Linked DNA regions of Ovis aries. The protein of the gene in region 1 binds, or shares a complex with, the protein of each later gene. Links are inferred from orthologs where the notes say so. Each region holds a gene or a part of one and is shown in the gene's direction. Other genes may lie near its edges. The genes, in order: ANP32A, nucleoside diphosphate kinase A 1 and TREX1.

Evidence for each region.
Region 2: ANP32A (region 1) and nucleoside diphosphate kinase A 1 share a complex: the UniProt entries of both Homo sapiens proteins name them as parts of the SET complex. The link is inferred for Ovis aries from reciprocal best matches to the Homo sapiens genes ANP32A and NME1.
Region 3: ANP32A (region 1) and TREX1 share a complex: the UniProt entries of both Homo sapiens proteins name them as parts of the SET complex. The link is inferred for Ovis aries from reciprocal best matches to the Homo sapiens genes ANP32A and TREX1.

Annotation. Positions count from the first base shown.
Region 1 is NC_056060.1:15,612,028-15,616,326, reverse strand, and holds the start of ANP32A (acidic leucine-rich nuclear phosphoprotein 32 family member A), read left to right. Parts: upstream 1-1,404; 5' UTR 1,405-1,521; coding exon 1,522-1,575; intron 1,576-4,299. UniProt on the Homo sapiens protein: Multifunctional protein that is involved in the regulation of many processes including tumor suppression, apoptosis, cell cycle progression or transcription. Promotes apoptosis by favouring the activation of caspase-9/CASP9 and allowing apoptosome formation.
Region 2 is NC_056064.1:35,334,056-35,337,700, reverse strand, and holds part of nucleoside diphosphate kinase A 1, read left to right. Parts: intron 1-433; 5' UTR 434-437; coding exon 438-563; intron 564-2,867; coding exon 2,868-2,969; intron 2,970-3,645. UniProt on the Homo sapiens protein: Major role in the synthesis of nucleoside triphosphates other than ATP. The ATP gamma phosphate is transferred to the NDP beta phosphate via a ping-pong mechanism, using a phosphorylated active-site intermediate.
Region 3 is NC_056072.1:51,426,342-51,429,729, reverse strand, and holds TREX1 (three-prime repair exonuclease 1), read left to right. Parts: upstream 1-1,463; 5' UTR 1,464-1,552; intron 1,553-1,843; 5' UTR 1,844-1,864; coding exon 1,865-2,812; 3' UTR 2,813-2,857; downstream 2,858-3,388. Other genes in the region: ATRIP (ATR-interacting protein), read left to right, coding at 102-354, 763-830. UniProt on the Homo sapiens protein: Major cellular 3'-to-5' DNA exonuclease which digests single-stranded DNA (ssDNA) and double-stranded DNA (dsDNA) with mismatched 3' termini. Prevents cell-intrinsic initiation of autoimmunity.

The DNA of each region.
Region 1 (4,299 bases):
TAAATACAATGTATCCAAAAGAACTACCTTGGAGTACATGAGGAAGTGTGTAGACGTGTAGAAATAAAAGAATCGAAAAATAATTGTGTGGAGATGTATTTGTCCTGTTGACAGCAGTCCCTGTGATCTGTTAACAGACATAGGCAGCCAACTTAGTACACAATAAAAGTTCTAGAACTGGCCACAGTAAGTTGGTAACCAGATGGGAATTAAGGCTTTAAGATCTCTTACAACAACTGTGATTCAAAAACCCCAAAGCAAGCAAACCGTAAAACCTGGAGAAAATGCTCCAAATAGAGCCTCCTTGGCAGTCCAAATTGAACCAAATGACTCAGGTGGACAATGAAAAACTGCGCCGTTTTCTTTCACTAGGTCAATAAAGCCCATAAATAATGTTTGGTCCAGAAAACCAGACTTACTAGCACCTTTCTTTTCCATTTTTAAAATACTCAGAATATTCAGCATCAATTCTTAGTCCATGGTCTTCACTCATTTATTGACTAAACAAGACTGCCGGTGCCTCCAGATCACTCCTTCCAAGCTGACCTTATATGACAACAAACTGAAATGCCCCTTTAAGTAGAGGGTCTAGACCGCGAGTTAAGTCATCCAAAGGTGGACGCATCTTGCTTATTTACTTTTGTATTCAAGAGGCTGCGATGGTCACGGCTGGACTACGACGAGGAGGGAGGCGAAGGGTCGCGCGGATTGTGAGCCGCAGACCCGGGGTGGGAACCCGCGGAGGAGATGGGGGGTAGCAGCCTCGCTCCGCTAGCTCGGCCCTCTGGACCCAGAAAATGACCAGCCCCTCCCCCAACTGCACCCTTGACCCCTCCCCCCTTTTTCCAGGCCTTTCATCGGCCCGCCCGCCGAGCAGTCCGCGGCCCCCAGACCTCTCGCCGCCTGCCTCTTTCCACAGCCCAGTCGTGCGGCGCGGACAGACCCGGGGCGAAGCCCACGGCCCGGCTAGGACCCCTACCCCCGGCCCCTCCGGCCGCACCCCGCCCTTTCGTGTAACGCACCTGCGGCCCCGCCCCCGGCCAAAAGCTGAGGCGGCGGCGGGCTGGCGAGGCCGGGCGGCTCGGCCCTCCAGGCACAGTCGCCTTCCCTTCCCCCGCCATTCCGCCCACCCCCCTCGCTCAGCGACCGAGCTGCCGCCGCGCTCCTCAGCCGCCCCGAAATCTAAAGGGGTCCGTCTCCGGCACCACAACCAAATGGCTGAGCCTCCCTGGCCGGCTGCGCAGCCCGCCCATTGGTCCCTTCCCCCCCCGCCTCCACCACCATTCGCTGTTGCCCGGAGATCGGCGGCGGCGATTGGCTAACGCTGCTGCTACTCATTCGCGAGGCCGCCGATCCCGCCTCCACGGTGATCAGGTTAGTGTGCGCCGCGGGTGCTGGGGGCTCGAGAACCGAGCGGAGCTGGTTGAGCCTTCAAAGTCCTAAAACGCGCGGCCGTGGGTTCGGGGTTTATTGATTGAATTCCGCCGGCGCGGGAGCCTCTGCAGAGAGAGAGCGCGAGAGATGGACATGGACAAACGGATTCATTTAGAGCTGCGGAACAGGACGCCCTCTGATGTGAGCATTTGCCAAAAATATCTCTGTCGGTCCATTCTCCTACTTTGTGTGTGTGCGCGTTAGGGGGAGGCACTTTTTTTTTGAGGGGGGGCGCCCGGGAGATGTGGGCTTGGGGGTCGGACTGCAAATGAATTGCAAGGTTGGGGGGTTGCAATGCCATCCAAGCATGTTCCGGCTGCCGCCGCCGCTGCCCTTGGTGTGTGACTACCTGTGCGTGTGCTCCCGCGTGTGCGAATGTGGGTGCGAGTGTGCGTGCGAGTGTGCACCCATCGGGGGCCAGCGGGCGCACGCGTTTGGGTCGGAGAGAATGAGGCAAAATAACCCTCTGAGCTCTCTGCTCCCGTGACTCCGTCTGGGGGAAAGATTAACGAGGGAGGAGGAGGAGAGGGGCTGCCTCCTGGATTTAACAACAAAAAAAGGGGGTTTTATATTTTATAAATGAATCCCCCCTTCCGCCCCCCTCCCGCGCCTTCCCCCTCCCTTTCTCTCTCTCTCTCTCTCTCTCTCTCTCGCACACACACAATAAGTTTTGGGCTTCGCGAGTCCGGTTTAGTTTCTGATAAATGTGGGCCGAGGCCCCTGGGGAGAGCGCGTGGGGAGGGGGCTGCAGCGGAGTTGGGAATGGCTCGAGTTTAAAGTGCGTCTTCATTTCTTTGCAGTGATGAGGCGAGAGACGGGGGAGCCATATTTGTAACTTTGTAGTGTTCGTGAACGCGCCCTTTCTCTCCCTCCCTCCCTTTCTCTGCCTCCCTTCCTCTCCTCCTCTGTCTCCCTCACTCTTTCCACCCCACCTTCGGGCCAGATGCTGATGTTTCTTCCTTTCCTTCCGAAGGGAGGATAAATGGAAAGAAGGGGGGGAGGGATTTTCGAACGTGCAAAGGCACAGATAATCCCCGCGCCTCCCCACCTCGCGCGATCGCTACTGCAAGTTACCCAAAGGCTACGTCCCGGTCCCCCCTCGCCTCTGCTCCTTCCGGCCTCCCTAAGATGCCAGCCTTTGAGCCTTGACGCCCCCCGGCCCGTCTTTCTCTAGGGTGGGCTCCTTGGCAGCCATTCGGCGCCCGATTAATAAATGGGCCCGGGAAACTTTGTCAGGACGCGAGCTGCCCAGAGCTGGTGCCCGTGGTGGGTATTGGCTGGGTCCAGATTTATGCGGGCATAGCAGACACGCAGCTCGGGGATGGGAGTTTGCCTTCCCGTCGCCGTTATTGATTGGGCAGCAGCGGGAGTACAGCCGGAGGAAACTTACACGGATGGGAACTGGGAGGCTCGGGCGAAAGCTCACCCCCAAGGAGGGGAAAGGTGACGGTGGGTTACTCGGACGCCCGTTTTTATTTCTGTCTCCCTCTCGCTTTCAAACACTGTTTTATGTGAGTTGGAGGCTCAGCGGAGGAGACCCCGGGTCTGGGGCGGAGACGCTGGCTGACTCCTCTGGTGGCCCCTCCGGGACAGCGGAGCGCGGGCGGGTGGACACCCTCACCCCAGCCCCGGTGGCCAGGGTTCCACAGAGTTGGGAGTTTGGGGAGCACTGTGCGCTGACCTGTCGCCCCTCCAACCCGTTAAAACCCGAATCCCTGGCGGAGGCAGGCCTTGCTTCCTCTTTTCTCTAGTTCCTCCCCCAAACCTGAGTGAGACTTTTGAAAACAAGATCCTTTTTGTGCGCCCCCCCACCCCCCCGCATCATAACGCAGCTGTGGACTGTAGACGTGCAGTGCCTTATGGCGCGCAGGGCGGGGAGGGGGTGGCGGAGGGAGGGGAGGGGTTGCCCGCCGGAGGACGCTGGAGTTTCCACGAACAATTTGCCGGCGGTTTGCGTTTCTCTGGCCAGTTTCATCCCAGCTTGGACCCCGAGCCAGAGGATTGGGGGGCTGGGTGTGGTGATGGGGGAGGGGGCCGGAGCCGCGGGCTTCCCGCGTACTTTCCGGAAGCCCCCCGTGTGGAGGGGGAAGGGCGCCAAGTAGGGGGCCGGGGTCGCGGCGGGAGGGTGTGGAGGCGCGGTTCAGGCGGCCAACCCTACCCCCCGCTGCTGGCCAACTGGGAGCGAGATCGAAAGCGGGTCGAACCGGCTCTTTAAACTTCCCGAGTGTGTGCTGGGGGAGGGGAACGCGCCGCGCCGATCTGGGAGCGATTTCTCACGCTTCGCCCCCTCGCCTCCCGGCCCACTCGCCTGCCCCCTGCCTTGAGGCGGGGTGGGGGTGGAGGGGGCACTTTCTGCCCGTTTGGGGAGGAGGGGGAGAAAGCTAGCTAATGAGGGACAAAAGGGGTGGGGGAGGAGGGGCTCGTTTTTTTAAACATTCTTAAAATAAATAGCTCCCGGAGAGCGCCCCTGCACCCCTCCCCGCCCTGCTCCCCCCGGGACCCCCATCACACCCACCTTGGGAGCCTCTCCCAACTCTGATCCGGGGGCTGGTGGCCACGCCGCGACGCCGAAATAGGACGAGCAGCCATGTTTCCCGGGTCTCGCGCGGCCCGCCCCGCCCCTCCCCCATGGCGCGGCTGGCGCCGAGCGCGGGGCTCCGAATGCGGGCGCCGGGCTCCATGCGGCGCGGGGCGCGGGCCGGCGGCCGGGCGACGGGGCGGCCGGGCCTCGTGCGCGCGAGCCGGGCCGCGGGCGCGCCGGGCTGGCCCTCGGGCGGGCCTTTTAGCTTCCCGAGCTGGTTTGGAGCTCGAGGTGTTTTCTTATTATTGTATTTTTAACGGCCAGGCCCGCCGGAGACCGAACCC
Region 2 (3,645 bases), on another chromosome or scaffold:
TAACTGGGTTCAGTCACATGTTCTGTGCAGATGGTCTCAGTAACACCTTACCTCTCTCAAAGCTGCATCCTTGAATGGCTCCTGCTATGGGAACAGTGTACAGAGTGTATATTCCAAGGACAGGGGAGGGAGTGAGGAGCCTCTGATCGCCTGGGTCCAGATTGAGGGTGAACTGGCAGTCACATCCACTTGATATGACTTAACAGAAGCTTATTCAATCAAATGAATTATAACCCCGGCTTTTCGACCCTTCTCCACTCCGGGATATTAATTCATAGATGGGGGGACTGAGGTGGAATTAGGTTTTTACTAGAGAGTCCTGGAATTGATGTCACAGATTTAAAGCAGCTTTGTGGGATAATCTGCTTGAGAAGGATAATGAGGTAGGCAGGATATTCAGTGTTGCTTCATCCCTCCACCTGCCTATCCCCAGGACCATGGCCAGCAGCGAGCGCACCTTCATTGCCATCAAGCCCGATGGAGTCCAGCGAGGCCTCATGGGAGAAATAATCAAGCGTTTTGAACAAAAGGGATTCCGTCTTGTTGCCATGAAATTCATGCGGGTAAGTGGACTTCATTCTTGCTGTTTCTATTACTTCATAGAAATAGGGGAACACCGTAGGTCAGCCTCTCTCTCCCTTCAGATCATTTTAGATTTCTCCATTTAGAGTGAATAAATGTCCTGAAACTGTGGCCTCTCCACCGAGTCTTGGAATACAGCGAGTTATTCAGGACTTTCAGAAGTAGCCTCCCTTTTCTCTTGGCAGTGCAGAGTTCCACATATTACTGTAACACAGTGATTTCTGACACAAAGCCCTGGACCTGTTTGAGCTGCTGATCTTGAGCTTCCTGAGCAGATCATTTTAGAGACTCCCTGACCCTCACCTTTGCCCCCACCCCCCCACCATTTGAGGCAAATTGTTTTTCAGCAAGGAAGTCTTTTTATCATTGTTTACCACCTGCCTAGTGTCTAGCATGTATTAGACGCTATCTGGGCATATAGGGGAAAGCTGTGGCTGTGCCCTTGGGGAGGCCCACCTGAAACAGAGAGCAAATGCCCTTGCAAGATACCTGCAAAGCAATATTTCAAAAACTCCAAAGGATTGATTGGCCAAGAACCCTTCTTCAAACACACCTGGGAAATAACTTAAGTTCTCAAAGCAAATACATTAGGGGATCATCTTTTTTTCCCCCTATTAAGAGTCACCTTTAGTGAATGAATCAGAGAAAGAGAGTCAACTTTGGACTTTCCCAGTGCATTTTATCTTTTAGCTGCGCTGCATGGCTTGTGGGATCTTAGTTTCCTGACCAGGGACCGAACCTCAGCCCTGGCAGTAAAAGCATTGAATTCTAGCCACTGGGGCTGCCAGGAAATTCCCCATCTAGTGCATTTAAAATTTTGTTTGATTTGCACTATAGTTCCCATGTGATGTTTTAGAAAAAGTGTGTTAATATAAAAGGGAGCAGACTGCTGTTAATGCTGAGGGGATAGCATGATAGAATGATTAGAACCAGGGATTGGATTAGCAGTGCTTTCCAGAGAGTTTGTATATTGAATTAGGTTTTGAAGATAAAGGGAAATCAAAGTATTATTGATCAGATATTTACCATGTGTTGGGCACATGTGTTTTCTCACTAGCTCTCATGACAACCCAGAGAAGTATTTATTTCTATTCCCATGGTTGTTAATGATAAGGAAGCTAACTGGGGCTTGGAGAGTTTGAGTAACGTGTGGTTACCCAGTTGGTGACGTAGCTAGGATTTTCACGCAGGGCTCTCTGACCCTTAAGTGCATACATTTTGTCCTTTAGACTGTTTCCTATCAAGGGCCTGGACTTGGTGAAGAATGGGTTGGGGGATAGCTGCCATGAGCCTACAGGGTTATTTAAATCTGATGTGAAGGAAAACTTGAGTTCCCTCCCACCTGTCCCCGCCTCCCGCACCAACACACAAAAAAAGCCAGCGCCAATTAATAGAATTAAAAGAATGTTGGTAAGGGAAGGTCATCAGGAGACAATCACTGCAAGTCTCCCATATGGATTGAGGGATGGGTCAGGATGAATACTAACGGGGTGACGATGTGGCTGTGTAATTTTACTTTGGCAAGAGACGATCAATGGGGCTGAACGATAGCATGTTCAGGATGTGCTTTTTGGCAGCAAATCCCCACGTTTGTGTGTATCACTGAAGTGTGCAGCATTCTGTACGAAGCAGTACTACAGAACTGGGAAAACTAAGGGATCTCATTAGACCCTTAAGGAGCATGTAAGTGGTAGCAAAGAGGAAACACAGGTGAGTCGAGTTGGCATTGCTAAGCAGATGGTTTGCTCTCTATAACTAGTCTGATTTGTTCCCAGATACCAGCCTTGCAACGTGAAAGATTTATTCTTTAGTAAAGTGACTTATTGTTAGATGGCATGTGCTTTTGGGTGGTTTGCAATACCTGTGGAAATTGCATGGTCACTGCACTGGGCCTTTGCTATTTTTTAAATGTGATGAGAAATGCTCTGGTTCAGTTTGCTTTTCATCCAATGCTGAGACCACCTCCCTCTAACATTTTAGTTGAGAATTGTTTGGGAATGCAAATTCATCGTATTGTTAGTTTTCCTGTCTAAAATACCATGGCTGGATTCAGTTCTAGTGTTCTGTAATTTTATGCTGATCAATCAAGGACAATAGGGGAAAATTGGTAAAAGCTGGAGCACTTATAGTCCCTGTCACTTTTGGTAAGTTGAGTGAATTAGATTATAATAGAACAAGTGAGCTGAGAGCTCACGTTTTAAATAGCAGGATTGGTGAGTGGGAAATAACTAAATTGTGCTTAAATAGTTTGGGAATGAAATTTCTTTCTCTATCTTATGGGCTAGGCTTCTGAAGACCTTCTCAAGGAGCACTATATTGACCTGAAGGACCGTCCATTCTTTGCTGGCCTGGTGAAATACATGCACTCAGGGCCAGTGGTTGCCATGGTGAGTGTACATGTTTGGGATGTTGATACAGATGGCTCAGTTGGGAGCAAAGAGTGAATATTGTGATTCCTGCTCCTAATGCCAGGTCTTCACTGATGCGAGGATGCTGAGACTGGGGCATTGGACAATTAGGGTATGAGTTTTCTGACTCACCAAAGGCAAAATACATTTGCTTGGTGAGCTGAAGACTCATATCTGGGAGACATCAGGAGAGAGATGCCTGATTGTAAGCTCCTGGAGGGTAGAGAGATTGTGTCTTATTTATTGTAGTAATTCTTCTTTGAGCACGTATTGGTTGTCATCTTTGTGCCAGGCTCTTTTTTAGACACTTGGGGATATAATCATGAATGAGACAAAAATAGGTAACTGTTTTCATAGCTTTCCTTGCCTGTATATCCTGAAAAGGGAGGATGGGCAGATAATAAAGAAACCAAAAATCATACATAGCAGCTAATGATTAGTGATGCACAGAAATGAAATAAGATGACATAATAGGAAGTGGCCACATTAGATTGAGTGGTCAAGAAACATGATTTTCAAACTGAGATCTGCATGAGAAGGAGCCGGCTATGCACAAATATAGAGTGAAGAGCATTCTCAACCAAGAAAATAGCATGTGCAAAGAACCTGGGGTGGGGAACTTTTTGAAGTACAGAAGGACGTTTGGAATAGATGA
Region 3 (3,388 bases), on another chromosome or scaffold:
TCCTCACCCTGGGGGGAGGCTAGGACCGGGGCTGCCCCGCCGAGCGGGTGGTCTGGGTACAGAGGCCACATGCCCTGACCTCCGCCCACGCCCTCCCGCAGGTGGTCAGAGCACTCACGGTGGTGCTGCACAGACAGTGGCTGACGGTGCGGCGGGCAGGGGGCCCCCCGCAGACCGAGCGGCAGAGGCGGACGGTGCGGTGTCTGCGGGACACGGTGCTGCTGCTGCACGGCCTGTCCCAGAAGGACAAGCTCTTCACGGTGCACTGCGTGGAGGTCCTGCACCAGTACGACCAGGTCATGCCCGGGGTCAGCATGCTGATTCGAGGGCTTCCTGACGTGACCGACTGTGAAGGTGAGCCTGCAGTAGGCGCCCCCACCCCAGCACCCACGTGGGGTCGGCCCTGAAGTCCCCAGGCGAGTCAGACCCTCTGGCCTTAAGTCAGCGGCCCACCATCCACACAGCCTTTGCCAGCACCAGGCCACTCCTCCTTTTCCTGCTCTGGCTCCTCTCTCAGTGTATCAGCCTGCCTTTGGCTCGTATCTACTGAGTCAGCCAGGCAGAGCCACGGCTTTTCCAGAAACATCCCTGTCTGAATTGCCTTTCTGTCACTTTGCTTGCAGTAGCTGAGGGAGCGAGGCCTGGGCGTGGAAGGGACTGGTTAGTTCCTGTGGGCCTGGGGGGGCGGACGGAGTGGTGGGGCCACCCCCAGTCCCAGCACCTTTGGGCCTTCACCACAGAACCTTCTGGGTTTTGGCTCAGAGGCGGCCCTGGAGGATCTCTGTGCCGTGGAGACCGACGCGGACGAGCCCGAGATGGACTGTGGCTGAGGCCTGTGAGCACCGAGCCACACGGTGGCACCAGAGCCACTCCTGTCCTTCCCTCCTCCTCTGATTAAAAGCACTGACTGGCTGAGAGCACGCCAGCTTTCTGTTTCCTGAGTTTGCTCCGCATGGGCAGAGCGGGAGGGGCAGAGCAGAGCGGGAGGGGCAGAGCAGAGCGGGAGGGGCAGAGCAGAGCGGAGCCCCAGCCCCATGGGGATGAATCTGCCCTGGGGAAGGAGCCCTGCCCCTGTGGATTTGCCCTGAGTCATCCCTCTCTCCTGAGGCCACCGGAAGAAACCATTGTGCGCAGGGGTGGAGGCGGCCCTCAGCCCAGGCCTAAACCAGGGAGGCCTGGGAAAGTGAGGCGACGGACTGGGTGCAAAATGGCCATGGCAGGGCGGCTCCCGGCAGGCCGAGTCATGGAGCCAACCTCCCCCCATAGCCTGGTCCTCCCACCGTGAGCGTGTGAGGGCCCTGGTGCACCATGCTAGCCAGTGGGCCCACAGCCAGAGATCTGAGGCCTTTGGGGCAGCCCTGCGGGTGCCTGGGGAAGGACGGGTGCTATTAGGAGGGATGGCCCAGGCCAGCTGACAAGCGGGGCGGGCCGTGCTCACACCAGCCGTTGGGCGGGCTCAGGCCAAGTTTCACTTCCCGCCACTGCTGCTGCCGGCAGCAAGAACCAGCCAGAGAGTGTGTACCCTGAGTCATTGCTGCCTGCTGGCTCCTCGGTAAGTGAGAACCCCCAAGGGGATGAGGCAGGGTGGGAGGGCTGTGGGTACCCCAACACACACTAAGAGGGCCCCAGGGGAGGAGCTGAGCCTTCCCCTGGACAGCTGAGTGAGCAGGTCCCACTAAGGAAGCCACCCTACCTTCTCTGTCTTCCTGCCTGATAGTGGGTGCTGGAGCTCAGCAACAGGATCTAATGGGGCAGGGAAGGCCTGAGGTGCTCCCACTCCACCTGCCTTACCGCCCGTCAGCGAGCACTCACGTTCCCACCCCGACCCCTTGCTCCTCCCCAGGCTCAGCGGCAGACACCCACCATGGGCTCACGGGCCCTGCCCCCGGGGCCTGTGCAGACCCTCATCTTCCTGGATTTGGAGGCCACTGGCCTGCCCTTCTCCCAGCCCAAGATCACCGAGCTGTGCCTGCTGGCCATCCACAGATATGCCCTGGAGGGCCTTTCCACCCCTCAGGGGTCTCCACCAACGGCACCCCCGCCACCCCGGGTGCTAGACAAGCTCTCCCTGTGTGTGGCTCCAGGGAAGGCATGCAGCCCCGTGGCCAGCGAGATCACGGGCCTGAGCACTGCCGTGCTGGCTGCACATGGGCATCGGGTCTTTGACGCCGACCTGGTCAACCTGATCCGCGCCTTCCTACAGCGCCAGCCGCAGCCTTGGTGCCTTGTGGCCCACAATGGTGACCGCTACGACTTCCCCCTGCTCCGGGCCGAGCTGGCGCTGCTGGGCCTGGCCAGTGCTTTGGACGATGCCTTCTGTGTGGACAGCATCGCTGCTCTGAAGGCTCTGGAGCCGGCTGGCAGCTCCTCAGAGCATGGCCCAAGGAAGAGCTACAGCCTGGGCAGCATCTACACACGCCTATACGGGCAGGCCCCGCCAGACTCGCATACCGCCGAGGGGGACGTGCTCGCCCTGCTAAGCATCTGTCAGTGGAGGCCGCGGGCCCTGCTACGGTGGGTGGATGCTCATGCCAAGCCCTTCAGCACCGTCAAGCCAATGTACGTGGTCACAGCATCTACTGGAACCAACCCGAGGCCATCTGCTGTCACAGCCACTGTGCCCCTGGCCAGAGCCAATGACACCGGCCCCAAGCTTCGCGGAGACAGGAGCCCCAAGCCAGCCCCTCCCCCAGTGAAGTGCCCTGGAGCCCCACCCGGGGAGGGGCTGCTGGCCCCCCTGGGCCTTCTGGCCTTCCTGACTTTGGCGGTAGCCATGCTGTATGGGCTGTCCCTGGCCATGCCCGGGCAATAGGCCAGCAAGGGAAGTCTGACTAATAAAAAACCCCCACAGCACTGAGCGATCACTCACCTCTACCTGCTGTGGTGGCCTTACAGCTTCCTGCCCACGCTCAGAGACCTGGGGCCAGGGGCACAGAAAATGAGTCTTTACCCCTAATCCCAGCAGCCAGGGCTACAATGAAAGGAGGCAACAGCTCGAAATATCTGCATTTATTACAAACAAGGGTGCAGACCCAAGACTCCAAACACATTAAGAGGTCCCAACCTACGACATGGTAAGACACAGACAGAGGGGTGGGGAACACCGAGGTATGTGTCTAGGTCACAGGAGCCCCCTCAGGGTCCCCTCCACCTTTGGTCCAGACGACACCTTGACCCAGGTGTCCCCGCTGCCAGGACACACCTAGGCCCGGGGTCCAGCAGCCGGGTAGCCTGTGAGGCTGGTGATGGAGAAGCAGGAACTCAGAGTCCCTCTCCTCTCAGGGAAGTCTCCCTCTAGGACCCAACGGTTTCAGCCTCACAGCAACCATTACACACATTTTGAAACAGAAAACAGGTAAAATAGTTAGTGAACAGTAAAATAAAAACA